Callithrix jacchus: one gene and its partners. The protein of the gene in region 1 purifies or fractionates together with the protein of each later gene. This does not show direct contact. Links are inferred from orthologs where the notes say so. Each region holds a gene or a part of one and is shown on either strand. Other genes may lie near its edges.

Region 1 (3,500 bases):
GGGAGGCCTGGATGAAACTTTGCGAGCAGTTGAGGGAGTTGACACTGTGAACACTACACACGCTGCCATTGGTGACGGTGCCATTTAAATAATTTAAGTCCAGGCTGTTGTGAGAGTTGCAATACAGGGCTTCTTCATTCCCATGAAAAATGCTGTCTACAAGAAGTCAAGCAAAGGCACGTGAACCTCCACGCCATTCTGCCACAGCAATGCACATCCTACACTTATGAGGTGACTTTTCATTTAAATAAGTCATAAAAAATGAAATCCCATGGTCTCCACCAACATATTCTACAGAATAACAAATACTATCTTGGATGAAATGCCAACATACAGAAAGAACACCTTAAAGCATACTGAAAGGAAAAAGCAAACCTAATCAAAGGCGTGCACACATTTGAAGTAAGTGTTGCTTGGGAAAGTTCTCAGTTCTGCCGTGAGCTTTGAAATCAGGCACCAACAATGGCCCTCCAATTGGGGAGACCTGTCCTCTTGCTCAGGACTCAGCAACAGGACTGAATATTTAGACAAGGAATTCAAGAACTTTAATAAATTTCAGTTACTAAGGACTTAGAGCTGCTCTTCCTGATGGCAATGGAAAAGGCGCCTTTACCCAGGTGACTGCTGGGCATTCTAAAGACACAAAACAAATGATGTAGCCAGGGTGTCAGCACAGCTAGCTGGTCCTGAGCAGCAACAGAGGGCAAAATTAGAATCACGAGTTCTTTTCAGCAACTCCTAATATCCCCTCTAGAACTATTTCATCACTTAGGTCAATTCAAGTAAAAATTATAGTTTAAAGAGATACCTAAGGCAATAAAAAGCAGATTCCTAAAATCAGGCCCATTCTAGGTGTCCGGTGTTCTCTTACACACACACGCCCCGAGGAAGGCAATCTCTTGCCTTTCTATAGCCAAGATATATTCATTTTCACACTACAGATTTAAGCATGAGCAAAACAGAGAAAGGCAAACTCAGAGAAGGTGAAAAACAGAAACGGTGACTGAAAATAGTCAACTGAAGAGAGGGAGCATGGACAGAGATCTGATCAGATGAGACAGGCAGGACAGACAAGGGGAACGCAGAGACAAATGTGGGGGCAAGTTAGCCACCTCCCATGGGGTTTGGGGCCTTCCCAGAGAAATGTGGTAACTTTGCTAGTCTCCTTGTAAAAAGTACTATTTTATTAAATTAAATAGTCTTGATTGCCTTGGTTTTCATGCTCACACTTTTATACAGCAGAGGATTCAAAATGGCCAGGAGTTGATAACAGAGAATGAATTAACCATTTACTGTATTTCCAACATCCAAGATTTTCTACCATCTCCTTTTTTTCAAATGCAGTTCGCATAATGATTACAAGTACCAGTTTTCATATCTAAGTTCCATCATTAATCTGTCTGTACCCCAATTTGTATATCTGGAAAATAGAAATAATAATAGTACCTATAGGTTTGTTTTAAGGATCACGTGAAAAGATATATACCAAGTACTTAGAGCAATACCATAATTGCTCTATGAATGTTAGTTGTTACCATGAAATCATTACTAGTAGAAGAAGCTTTTTCACACATTTTGCATGGGAGAAATTTTGTGAGAAAGAGAGGAATAGAACAGCTTTACTTTACTCTGAAAAGAAAAAAGCAAGTGTACCAAGAAAGGGGCTGGGGAAAGAGATGAGAAAAACAGCTAAGAGAAAAGGCTGACTTAGTGTATTTCTTCCAATTATTCTGCACGTCCGTGTTCTATGTCACCATGAAAAGCAGAGTGACTGCCAGGAGCTTTCTGATACTGGCAATGAAGGTGAAGTGCATTCACTTGGGCTGAGCTATCACGGTCTCTTCTCTAAGCTCACTTAGGAAAGGGAGAAGAAAGAACTTGCTCGCTGCCTTGACCCCGACCCCCAGAGCAGCCAATACCGGGGAAATTTTTTGATCAGAGGTAACTGATAGTTTAAGCCTTCTGCAAATTGAAGCTGTCAGATACTATCATTCAGACAATGACGAAGTTAAAAAGAAAGCATCCCTGTCTTCTTTTTTTTTAAAAGTCTTCTTTACCACTTATTGGTATTCAATTTTTTGTCTTAAGAATGGAGAATGGCAAGCCAGCGTTACCTTGTGAGGTGTGTGTTTCCGAGTAGTGCTCACCACACTGCACGTGAACGGGAGGCAGGATGTACGGCTGCTGCCTGGGCTGAAACAGAGAACACAGAGGAGGTGGGGAGGCCTGGCCAGACCCGGCCAATGACTCACACACCCGGCCCGGGCACACAGCAGTCCCACCATGTCGTCAGGGAGGCTCGTGGCAGCCGCTGTCCCTGTCACCCCTTTGACCCAACCTTCTTCTACCCGTCTGCGCTCTCATCTTATCACTAAGACTGGGACTGGAGAAACGGTAAGGGAGAAATGAAGTTGGTTCAAGATCAGAGAGAGAAAGAAGTTACCATCAAAGATTGAATGTAACAATTTATTATCTATGTTCTAATACACTTGCAAAGTTCTCTGTGCCTTCTCTCACAAGAATAACTTAGAAAAGGTAAATTATTCAAGGTGGGAGGATTGACTGAGCTTGGGAGTTCAAGAACAACCTGGGCAATATGGGGCAATATGGTGAAACCCCATCTCTACTAAAATACAAAAAAAATTAGCCAGGTGTACTAGCATGCACCTGTTGTCCCAGCTACTTGGGAGGCTGAGGTGTGAGAGTCACTGAGCCCGGGAGGCAGAGGTTGCAGTGAGCCAAGATCACGCCACTGCACTCCAGCCTGGGAGACAGAGAGAAACTGTCTCCAAAAAAAAGAGTGAATTATTATAATCCATCTCAGAGATGACAATAAGGGAACACCTGTTTCATTCTTTTCAAAATTCCATTCATAAGCTCCTACACATCAGCATAGCTATGCCTGAGACCACATCAACCTTAAATAGGAACAGGGTTAGTGTTAAGCCGAGCCCGGGATGAATCTACTTAAATATCTAAAATGAATCTACTTAAATATCTAAAATGTGGCCCACAACAGTGAGTGTGTAGCTCTCAAGACCACTTGCTGACCTCCCCCACTGCAGAACCAAGTATGGAAAGGGCCCTGTCTTCCCCCTACCGCAGTGCAGAATCTTTTCTGCAGTCTCTTAAAAATGGCTATTTAGACTGAACCTGAATAACTTCATGCTGTGGAAGAGGAACAAGCTTTTAGAGGAATAAAAAATACTTCAGTGGATTAAATATTTGGTGAGCCAACAAAAGAGAGGCAGTTATGCACTAATATAATATAGAGCAAGTCATTTAACCTCAGCCCATCTCAGTTTCCTATCAGTCAAATCAAGCTCCTCTCTCCCCCTACCTCAAGCATTATCCATTTTATTTACATATCAAGGTTCCGGATAAGAATTTGTTTAAAATAAGAATTTTGATCTGCGGGAAAAAATAACCCTCAAAACACTTAAGTTTATAAGCCACAAAAAACGATAATCTCTTATATTTCTTTTTCCTTTTCATTTCTT
Region 2 (3,500 bases), on another chromosome or scaffold:
GGCCAGCAGGAGACTCAGGCCAGGGGCAGGAAGCGGGGGTGAGGTAGGCAGAAGCTGGAGACACTAAGGGGGTGCCCTGGGCAGGAGGAACAGAAAGAGGGAGGCAGAGAGGGCAGCCGGCTGGAGAGGGCCGGGCTACGACTGCACGTTGAGCGCGTGGGCAGAGCGCTGGTGGTGCCAGTCTCGGAGGCGGGTGTAGCGTGGGCTCTGCAGCTCCAGGACATACTTTTCCCTGAGGGGCAGAGAGAGAAGGAGGAAGAAGTGGAAGGAAGGAGAGATGGAAGGGACATAGGGAGGGAGGAGGGTAGGAAGGAATGAGGGAAGGAAGGAGCAAGGGAAGGGAGGAAAGAAGGAAGGAAAGAAGGAAGAGGAGGAGGAGGGAGCGAAGGAAGGAAGGAGAATGGAAAGCCCCAGCTGGGAGCCTCAGGAGTAGACATAGGGCAGTAGCTGGAATGGAAGAGGCAGGAGGTGGGAGAAGGGCTAGTGCCCATTCTTGTACCTTGATTTCTTCAGGTGCTCCTCATCCGGGTCTTGCACTGAGAGGGCAGAGACAGGCATTGACCAAGAGAGACAGAAGGTCAGGGTTCACGCCTGGGCTGGAGGCCAGGAGAGTCCACCCTGCCTAGGCTGGCACTTACTGAACTCGGTGCCTGTGAGGTGGGCAAGGATGCGGAAGGAACGCGACTGGCCTGTCCCAGGCCGTGGCCGCCAGTCCTCGGTGTTCTCCATCAGCCGCTGCTTGCTGGCATCTGGGACCAGCGGTCGGAGCGGCTGTCTGTGGGGAGGGTGCGGCTCAGAACCCCATGCTGGGGGTGGGCAGTGGGGGCAGCCCCTCCCAGGATTTGGTGCATGTGGGTTACAGTGATGGGAGGGAGTGGGTAAGGGCAAGGCCAGAAGCCCTGCTAGGCGGGTGGATGAGAGGACAGGAGGGCAAAGTGGAGAGGAGGGCAGCCAGGGTGGGGAGGGGCCACCGCCCAGAGTGCCAAAAGGAAGAAGAGAGGGACAGGCAGAGGGGGCTCACTGACTTGTCAGGGGTCTGCACCTGTGAAGGAAATAGACAGATAGAGAGATAAAGGGACAAAGGGACAGACACAGGAGAGGAAGAAAGATGGGGAGGGGTCAGGGCAGCCGGGGACCAGGCAGCACTGAGTGTCTAGGGCTCAACTGGCCCAACACCATGACCCAACCCCAAGCCGCCAGCAGGGGGTGCGACCTCATTCAGAGACCCCTCCCCAGGGCAGTGCCCTGCAGGGTGCCACAGCCTTGGGAGGGGCCCTGTGCCTGCAGTCCCACCCCGGCCGCCAGGGGTTGCTGCCGCACGGTTCCGCCGGGCTGGGGCACAGCACAGACTGAGCAGCAGCGGGCAGCGGGCAAAGGGCGTGGGGCCACAAGGGGCCTGATGGCATGGGCACGGGCACGGGCGGGCCGGGGCTGACATACCCATTCTGCTGCGGGGCGTTGTCAGCGGGCGGGGGCGCCCCGAAGGGCCGGGCCGTCTTGTTGAGGGAGACGCTGGGTGCAAAGGTGTACCGCGGGGGGTCCGCGGCAGGGGCCGGGGCCTGAGCAGAGACAGAGCCGGGCAGGGCAGGCGGGCAGGGACTTGGGTGGGAGTGGGGCGCCCGCACCAGAAGACAGTGGCAGCTCCAGCCCCCCACACCCCCCACATCTTGCAGGAGACTAGGGGGAGACGACAACTCAGGTTTCAAGGGGCCCATTCAGGAGTGGTGATTTCAGTCCACGCAGGACCGAGGGCTGACCAAGTGCGGGCGAACACGCAGCACCGGCGGCGGGAGGCAGGCAGGCGGACAGACAGGCAAACATGCGTGGTGCCCAGACCGTGCGGCAGCCCCTGGCTCAACTCCAGGGCCCTAGACCCACCCTAGCTCCAGTTTCTGCCCTCTACTTCTGACCAGGGATTGGGGTACCGAGGCTGTGCCAGGAGGGCGAGCAGGTCTGGCTGTCCAAGCCCAACCCGCCCGCTGCCCAGATGTCCCGGCCCGCCTCGTACCTTCTGGGGTTTGCTCTGAACCGGTTGGGCCCTGAAGGAAAAGGAAAGTGTGACAGCGTGGGCCCATGAGAATCCCCATTGCTAGCGACTGTGCACCCATCCACACCAACGCGCATACCTGCTGAGGCCCAGGCTGAGGCGTTCCCCACAGGCCCGGATCTTGTTCTGAGCTTCGATGTGTGTGAGGCTCCCTGCATTCTCGCCATCGATGCTCAGCACCCAGTCACCAACGGCCACTCCAGCCTGTGCTGCTTTGCCTCCAGGAGTGAGCTACAGAGAAAAGCACAGTGACCGAGGTCCTTAGACTCTGCAGACCCAAGCCAGGTGGTAATGCTGCCCCACTTCTAGAGGCCAGAGAGCTCTTCATTCAACATAGTTCTAGGCAGCTGCTGGACACTAAAGCAACCAGGAGGTGGTGGCGCTCACCTGAGCTTCACAATTTCCCATCACACTGCTGATTTATTTACTCTGCACCACGACCCTACCCCACAGTCCAGAAATTCTATGATACCCACAAACAGCCATGCTCAGGCCCATGTGTTTCAGGAGGACCACCTGCCTTTTGAAGCACCTGCTGGCTGCCTGCCCAGGGCTGCTATACTACCAGATATGCCCTCTGGCCCATGCAAGGGGCAGCTTCTTCCCTGCTACCGCTGGGGGCTCTTATGGATCTCTTACCCTCCAGCACCCTATCTGGGGGCCATCTGCAGGGGTCCGCTGGGACACTTTGAGAGCCAGGAACAGGCCCTGTTATCTCCAGGTTCCCCATGAACACTGCCTGAATGGGGCCTAAGGTGACAGCTGGGGCTTCATAGGCCATACATGAGTGTCACTCCCAAGCCTTCAACTGCCAACTCCCCTGACTCCAATCCTTCAGGCTCTGAGCTGGGAGTCCCTGGTTCCAGTGGCAACAAGGGGTGACAATAGGCTGCGAGAAATGGCTGCCACCAGCATGAACTAAGACCATCAGGAATGACTTCAGGGAAGCTAAGAGAGCTCGGTGGCCCCTTCCTCACTCGCTAAATAAGAACACCTCCTTCAGTTTACTGAGCACCAAGTATGCTACACATTGCTGCATCTTCCAACAACCCTGTGGAGTAATCTGAGATTTTACCCATTTTGCACTTGAAAGTGTACACAGAGAGGTTAAACAACTTGACTCAAGTCACCCAGCAAGAGGCAGGGCCAGGAAGTGACCCTGACCCTAAGACTCCACCACTGCAGGCCACCTTTGCTGAGCATGGGGGCCCAACTGAGGGGTCAGCCCACCTCGAGACGCCCTGAGCTTCCCCCTCACATTTAATTCAAGCCAACTAAATCAACCCTTTAAACTGTGCGTGGGGAAGTGACACCCCAGAGGGGAAATGACTTACTCAAGGCCATGGTGAGTCAGTACAAGGGAAACCTGGCCCAGCCACTACCTGCCCACAAGGGCTGGCTCCTGGGAGGTGTGGGCTGAGTCCGAGGTGGGGGTCTTGGGGTGCACAGGAGC
Region 3 (3,363 bases), on another chromosome or scaffold:
ACAAACCACAGAAAACTCTAAAATATCCATGCACCATATACTTGAAAACATTGCACAAAGACAGAACTTTTGTAAATAGAGCCATCATTTCAATGGTGTTTTGTTAGAAGGCATAGATGTTACTTTTTAATTTTTTTTTTTTTTAACCATTTGGAAGGTCAAGTTTTCTTTGTTTTTCTTAAGTCAGGGCATGTATTACTTCTTAGTCTTTTGACTAAGATCAAGTGTTAAGGTAGGGCACATAGGCACTTGTTTTCTGATCTCTTTTTGCCTTGGCTACCAGGAAGCTCAAAGATAAATATAATACCTAACTCTAACCAGGTTACTTTAGGTTTGGGATATATTTATTTCCTTCTCCTCCTTTAAGCCTTCCAATTTTCTATTTTCCCTCAATACTCTTGTTATAATGCTGTTTGTAAGTAAACAGGGTATACATAAGAAAGAAGTAAACTTTTCTGGAACTTCAGAACTGCCAGAGTCAGTTTGAAGCTGCCATATCAGTCCAGGCCTAAGAAGTCCAGCAGCATCTTCCTGCCCTAAGGCATCACCACCTGTACGGAGTGCTGAGATTTCAGCTGATGGCCCTCCTGACAGTTCAGGAAGGCACCCTGTGTAAGGTGCTCTCAGCAAGTCTGGCTGTTTGTAGAGAGAACTATCAAAGGTCTTTCTTGCCATGGGTGGTGATCACAGAGTGGCAGGTATTATTTTTTATAAAAGAGTAGAGAATTGGCCAGGCATGGTGGCTCATGCCTGTAATCTCAGCACTTTGGGAGGCTGAGGCAGGCGGATCACCTGAGGTCAGGAGTTCAAGACCAGCCTGGCCAACATGGTGAAACCCTGTCTTAAAAAAAAAAGAAAAGAAAAAAAGAGAATGGCCATTGTATATTGGCCCTGCATTGTTTATTTCTTCATGGTCGTCTGGGACCTGTTGGCTCAAAAGCCTGCTGGTGCCAAACTCAAATTTTTACCCTTCCAGTTGTTTTAGCTCAAATAAGCAGCTTTTAAAGAAATATACAATCTTTGTGTTTTACATACCCTGTGAAACTGTATCTAACATTTGCTAGCCATAGATAAGATATGCCCTGGGCCTATAAGAGACTCCAATCTGCTGCTATTGCTTTGGAGTTCTCTGACCCAGAGACTCCCCATCGTGCTGCAGAGCTACCTCACCTAGATGGCCCTCTCCCCCAGCTCTCCCCTGGGAGTTCCCTTGCCTTCCTCCACACTGGGTAGTAGCCCCCAGCACCTTTGGAAGGTCTCATGCTGGGAGGGACTTCTCCTGCATGCAAACCTGTCAAAGCGCAGTGCAAGCCAGGCACACTGGCTCAAGCCTGTAATCCCAGCACTTTGGGAGTCCAAGATGGGTAGATTGTTTGAGCCCAGGAGTTCGAGACCAGCCCGAGCAACAAGGTGAAACCCCATCTCTACAGAAAATACAAAAATTAGCCAGGTATATTGGTATGCCCCTGTCATCTCAGCTACTCAGGAGGCTCAGGTGGGAGGATCGATAGAGCCTGGCAGGTGGAGGTTGCAGTGAGCTGTTGTGCCACCACATTCCAGCCTGGGCAACAGAGTAAGAACCTGTCTCCAAAACAAAACAAAACAAAACAAAAAACACAACTAATATAAAACTTGTGTGTGTGCTAACACCATTTTGTGGTTATATCTTTCTCCTTGATCAACCCTTAAACTCACTATAGCAGGGCAGAGATGCCAGCAGGCTTGTACTCCAGGGCATCCTTGTTAACAGAAAGCCCGGTGTGACCAGCCCCTCTCCTGCTTTGGCAAGGGCTGCCCTGTGGGACTGCCTGGGCAGGCACTGAGGCAGGTCCGTGTCCTATTGTTACTCTGTTAAAGTGTGTGCCTTGGCAGATTAGGTGCCCCATGTGTTTCAATGAAGAACTGCATGATGAGCACATGTGTGAATATGGGCCAGCACACAAAAACACATCAACAAATGCAGTAAATGAGCCTTGCAGCCAGGTGAAGGGTTAATAAGGCTGAGCGGGCAAAGAGATTCCTGGATTCCTCTGCTGATGGGAATGAGGGAGGGGTGGAACAACCTCAGTGGAACCTGTGGTGGGAATGGTAGGATGCATCATGAGCTCTGGCCTCTCTTCCCTGGGATAGTACCCCCCACTCCCTGGGACAGAGCACAGGGCTCCCCTGCCTTCGAGCTGCACTCACCCGCTTCTCCAGCATCCTCAGCAGCAGGCGGAAACGCTCGTCCTCGCGCACCCACTGCGGCAGCTCCTTCTCCCCATGGCTCTTGGCTTGTTCCAGCTGCTCCTTAAGCTCCTTCAGCACCGAGATCTCCTGGGTCAGTTGGCTGTGCCAGGTTCTCGTTGCCTGCAGGTCTAACTCCAGGTCCAGCGAGGTGCGGATCAGACGCTCGGAGCGCAGGGACTTGACGGAGGAAGGCTGCGGAGGTGGGGACGGCTTCTCTTGTTATTAGAACTCTGCCCTGTGAGCCCACCCAGCCCCTTCCTCTGACCCTCAAATATCCTCCCTTTGTTTACCTGTAGGCTTTCACTCCTTCTGAATGGGGCTTGCCCTTCCCTGGGAAGCCTGTTTGGAATTCTCCCACTCAGCTCATGTTTACTGAGCATTTATTATGTCCCAGGAATGGTGCTAAGTGCTTAATTTTTATTGCCTTGTTTCATTTTCATAAACCTAGGAGGTTCCAAGGCTTATCATCTGCACAGATGAGGCTTGCAGAGGTTAAGTCCCACAGGGTATGTGTGGTAAGGCTGAGATTTCACTCCAGGGAGCTGGCTGCAATCCCCACCCGCCCTCTCTCTACACTGTGCCAGCTTGAGTACTGTCAGCGCCCTTCACATGGACGTTTTCAGGTATTGATTCCTGTCACTGTACTTTTCTGAAGTTGTTTCCCCAGTACAGGTCTGTTCCTGCTTGAGGGCAGAAGTCAAGTCTTGACTTCATGTTCCTGTAATGCGCGCCTATTGTTTCTGCTTGCCCAGCATCTGTTTCCCCAGCCTTACAGTAACAATGCCCTCACCTTCCCTTGGAATTCTCTTCCTCCACACTCAGTCCACCTGGTTTGTGTGGGGCATCAGGGATAGGAATGTGACCTGAGCCTGGCCAATCAGAATCTCAGTGATGGGTTCAGAGGTGAGTATGTTATCAAAGCCCACCCATTAATACTCAATTCTGGCACTTTGCTGAACTACTCGGAAAAGAGGCAATGACTTTTTTTTTTTTTTTTTTTTTGATGAAGTGGTTTCACCATCACCAGGGCTGCAGTGTAGTGGCATGATCTCAGCTCACTGCAACCTCTGCCTCTTGGGGTCAAGCGATTTTCCTGCCTCAGCCTCCCGAGTAGCTGGGACTACAGGCACCCAC
Region 4 (3,500 bases), on another chromosome or scaffold:
TTCCAGACAACTTACACCTTTACTTTTGAGTTAAAATCTTAAGAGGGTCTGTGTATAACTCCAGCACACTTAGTCAATTCAGAGTAGCTTTACCTGAAAGCCCCTTCATAGACAGTTTTCCTCATCTGCAAATGATATCTCTCTATCCCAGCCCTAAGATCTTTGTTTCTCTCTGGGAAAGTTAGTTTTTCCAAGTATGGCCTATTATTCTCGTGGCTCTCCCTCCTTCTTGCCTCCTCCTCCTTGCCCTCCCCATCCCCCTCCTCCCCCTTCCACTTCTTTCAAGATTTGGATAATGCCTGACTTTTGCCAAGAAATTTTTCTTAATTAATTTTTACATATTTTGACAGATTCCTTATTATATACTAGTTTTTGGGATCAAGGGGAGGACATAAAACTGAATCATGAATTCAAGCTTTTCCTTTTGCTCTATAAACATGACCTAGAATATTATCTGAGCTATACTCTAGGCTATAGGTTCTATATTATTAGTAACAGAAAAATTTAGTAAGCATATATATGCACTAATTACAAAGTAAGTGCTTGACATGCATGATCTTGTTTAATCCTCATAACGACTCCATGTAACTTGTAACTAATTCAAGGTAACAGAGCTAATAAGATAAAAGCAAGAACTTGAACTTCAGAGCCTGGTGGTAACGACCACTGTGTCTTCCTTATACCATACTCATTCATATCACTCACTACTTCTTTCCTTAGGTCTATTTGTTCCTGTCTTTACATAATTTGTGTAAATGTGTTATTCATTCACAAGAAAGAATGCTTTTTAGAGTAACAAAACCACCCAGATCCTGCTCCAATTAACACAGAAAACTACAAATAGTAGCTACTTGATAAAATAAACACACATACACAGCTATAAACAAATACATGCATATATATTTGGATGCTTTCTAATTTGAATAACTGGAATTTTTAACCCCATGTTTTATTTCACAATATACTATTTAAGTGTCTCACAGAAAAATCCTAATTCCCTCATAATTCCCGTTGTACTGTATTCTTCACATATAACATAGTAAATCCTTACTGAATAAATGGTTAAAAGAGGCATTGAGTAGTTCAATTACTTTAAAAATTAAAAAAGTTATAAAGTATTAATATTTTATAATATAATCAAGGAATAAAGGATTCTGACTTCTATCATCTAGCAACTTCGATCTTCATCTAATGACTGTTGGTTTCATTTGTCTATCTTTTTCTTCCCATATGGGTTCCCAGTTTAAAATAAAAACAGTATATCAAGAGACTGGAAATTAATTATGTAAGAGGAATAATGCTAATAAAGTTTCCAAGGGTCAATAAATTTCACTAAGTAAAAGGGAATATAACTCATGGCTGAAGAATATTAACCTAGTGATAAATACCACCCCAAATTGGAGTAAACTACTATGGAATATAGTATAAACTCCTGTAAAGATTGTTAGCTATTTAATTTAAATTAATGCTTCCTTATTTTTGAGTTCTTATATCAATACTGCTATTAAAACAAAATTAAAATATACAGGTAAAAATTTGCATTATAATTAGGCATATGTAATTAGTTTTTCGGTTATCTTTAATCTTTTTTTCATTGTTGTGTTCCACGTTCAGAGATAATTTCGGGAGACTTTTTCCTGATATTGAACCTGCAAGCCTAATAAAAATCCTTATTTTACGTTTGGCTTAGATAATCAATGCTTTATTGTTTTAAAAAGTCAGTACATCGTTTTATGGTAAATAAGAATCCATAATAATGAATTCACAATACTGACATTCTTTCTAATTTACGTCCATATGATTTCTTCCAAAAAAAACGATACATTTCTTAAGGTATGCTCCCTTCTTTAATGTGTTTTCTGAAAGGTGTATTTAATATGCCTCATCAGTACTGCACTCAAAGGCAACCTAATCTTGATCTTAGAGAAGACTTCTCATTATTTCACTTAAACAATTCATTAATTATTATAGTTTCATAAACGCTATTATGACAATGCATCTTTTGAAATTTCAACTCTATGTTCAGGGAAATTTCCAGTAAAAGTCATACTTTCACAGGGACCAATGAAAAATATATTATTTTTGCTTTTTCATTCATTGAAGGAACAAAGACATAATGCAACCTTCTTCAAAGTCTTATTAAGTCACATTACATATTCCTCATTGAGAGAGAATTGAAAAAAATAACAGGAAAGAGAAATTAAATGTGTATTTACCTGTATTAGACAAACCCACAGTACTGTTTTCTGAAGAAGTAATTGGAATCTGTTCTGTTTTGTTGTATCCAGTTTCTATCTGTGAAAGAAAATGAGAAACACACAATGTCATTTACTAAAGTAGGTCACCTGAAGCCCGTGTTAACATAAAAAGAATGGTTAAAGAGATTAAGGTAATAGTCCCTCAAACTATAAAATTTATACTTTATGAAACTATAAAATTTTGGTATATGCATCTTCGAACAACTTTATGAAACTATAAAATTTTGGTATATGCATCAAACTTTATGAAACTATAAAATTTGGTATATGCATCTTTGAACAAAGCCATTCAGAATTAAAGGTAACAATTGCTTGCAGCTCTTCCATATCCAAGGATAACAAAATATAAGGCCACACATCTTGTCTTTTCAAAGTATTATAGCTCCACATGACAAAGTATAAGGGGCTGACTGAAAATCTTACACTCTGTCTCTGTTCAGCATGTACCTGAAACTGAAGTTACCATTGACACATTTTATTCTACTGACTAAAAGCCTGAATTTCCTATTTTACAGCTAACACAGATATAAATAATATACACTTTATAACTGTAATTTTTTAGGACAATATAGCTGTTAGTAATTGAGTGTATTAATTCTGATATAGAAATTCCCCATTTTGTGTGATTCTATTTGGGGGAACTATAGCCTACACACATGAAGGAGCAATATCCTTCTAGAGTGGATGCCTGGGATTAGCCTCACTATGTGGGAAAGAAGCTAAGGAAGAACAAATAAGATAGCCTGACTTTAGTCAAGCAGAGAACAGAAATGGCAAATAACTAAACCAACTGAAATTAAATATGATATTGTTCACATAGTTTTGAGTGATATCTAGGCAAATCTTTGTGGAACCATTTTGTCATGCTAGTATTGTCTAACAAATCATGCTTCTGGACACAGGACATGCTGACTTAAAATATGTGTGCTGAATATACAGCATAAACATCTTAAATAGTAAAGAAGAAAAAATATTTCAAAGAAGTATTAATTTGTTAACAATTTTACTGAAATAACAATTCTATATGTACTTAACCAATGTAAAAATATATGGGGGATTTACGGAGTATATATGCAGAGAAATTTAAGATTACATGACTTACCTCACAAGAAGGTAAAATGGCATTGTTAGTTTTGGGAGTGGATGAGGTCTTTGGAATTAGTGTTTCAGGAGGAGAAGAAAAAAGACTAAATGCTGAGGCTTGAGGTATATATTCTCCTGAAGCTTCTACAAGTGATGTAC

What was found.
Region 2: the proteins of PTPN14 (region 1) and PDLIM7 purify together in Homo sapiens (affinity purification with mass spectrometry; 3 studies listed by BioGRID and IntAct, counting the BioPlex papers as one, with this or other methods). This does not show direct contact. The link is inferred for Callithrix jacchus from reciprocal best matches to the Homo sapiens genes PTPN14 and PDLIM7.
Region 3: the proteins of PTPN14 (region 1) and WWC1 purify together in Homo sapiens (affinity purification with mass spectrometry; 7 studies listed by BioGRID and IntAct, counting the BioPlex papers as one, with this or other methods). This does not show direct contact. The link is inferred for Callithrix jacchus from reciprocal best matches to the Homo sapiens genes PTPN14 and WWC1.
Region 4: the proteins of PTPN14 (region 1) and STXBP4 purify together in Homo sapiens (affinity purification with mass spectrometry; 3 studies listed by BioGRID and IntAct, counting the BioPlex papers as one, with this or other methods). This does not show direct contact. The link is inferred for Callithrix jacchus from reciprocal best matches to the Homo sapiens genes PTPN14 and STXBP4.

What each region holds. Positions count from the first base shown.
Region 1 is NC_133520.1:14,776,675-14,780,174, reverse strand, and holds part of PTPN14 (tyrosine-protein phosphatase non-receptor type 14), read right to left. Parts: intron 2,194-3,500; coding exon 2,115-2,193; intron 157-2,114; coding exon 1-156. UniProt on the Homo sapiens protein: Protein tyrosine phosphatase which may play a role in the regulation of lymphangiogenesis, cell-cell adhesion, cell-matrix adhesion, cell migration, cell growth and also regulates TGF-beta gene expression, thereby modulating epithelial-mesenchymal transition.
Region 2 is NC_133503.1:68,644,111-68,647,610, reverse strand, and holds part of PDLIM7 (PDZ and LIM domain protein 7), read right to left. Parts: intron 2,279-3,500; coding exon 2,127-2,278; intron 2,040-2,126; coding exon 2,009-2,039; intron 1,560-2,008; coding exon 1,441-1,559; intron 1,043-1,440; coding exon 1,022-1,042; intron 776-1,021; coding exon 639-775; intron 563-638; coding exon of another isoform or gene 537-562; coding exon 500-536; intron 233-499; coding exon of another isoform or gene 136-232; exon of another isoform or gene 1-135. UniProt on the Homo sapiens protein: May function as a scaffold on which the coordinated assembly of proteins can occur. May play a role as an adapter that, via its PDZ domain, localizes LIM-binding proteins to actin filaments of both skeletal muscle and nonmuscle tissues.
Region 3 is NC_133503.1:31,339,770-31,343,132, reverse strand, and holds part of WWC1 (protein KIBRA), read right to left. Parts: intron 2,440-3,363; coding exon 2,188-2,439; intron 1-2,187. UniProt on the Homo sapiens protein: Regulator of the Hippo signaling pathway, also known as the Salvador-Warts-Hippo (SWH) pathway.
Region 4 is NC_133506.1:111,208,097-111,211,596, forward strand, and holds part of STXBP4 (syntaxin-binding protein 4), read right to left. Parts: coding exon 3,361-3,500; intron 2,296-3,360; coding exon 2,217-2,295; intron 1-2,216. UniProt on the Homo sapiens protein: Plays a role in the translocation of transport vesicles from the cytoplasm to the plasma membrane. Inhibits the translocation of SLC2A4 from intracellular vesicles to the plasma membrane by STX4A binding and preventing the interaction between STX4A and VAMP2.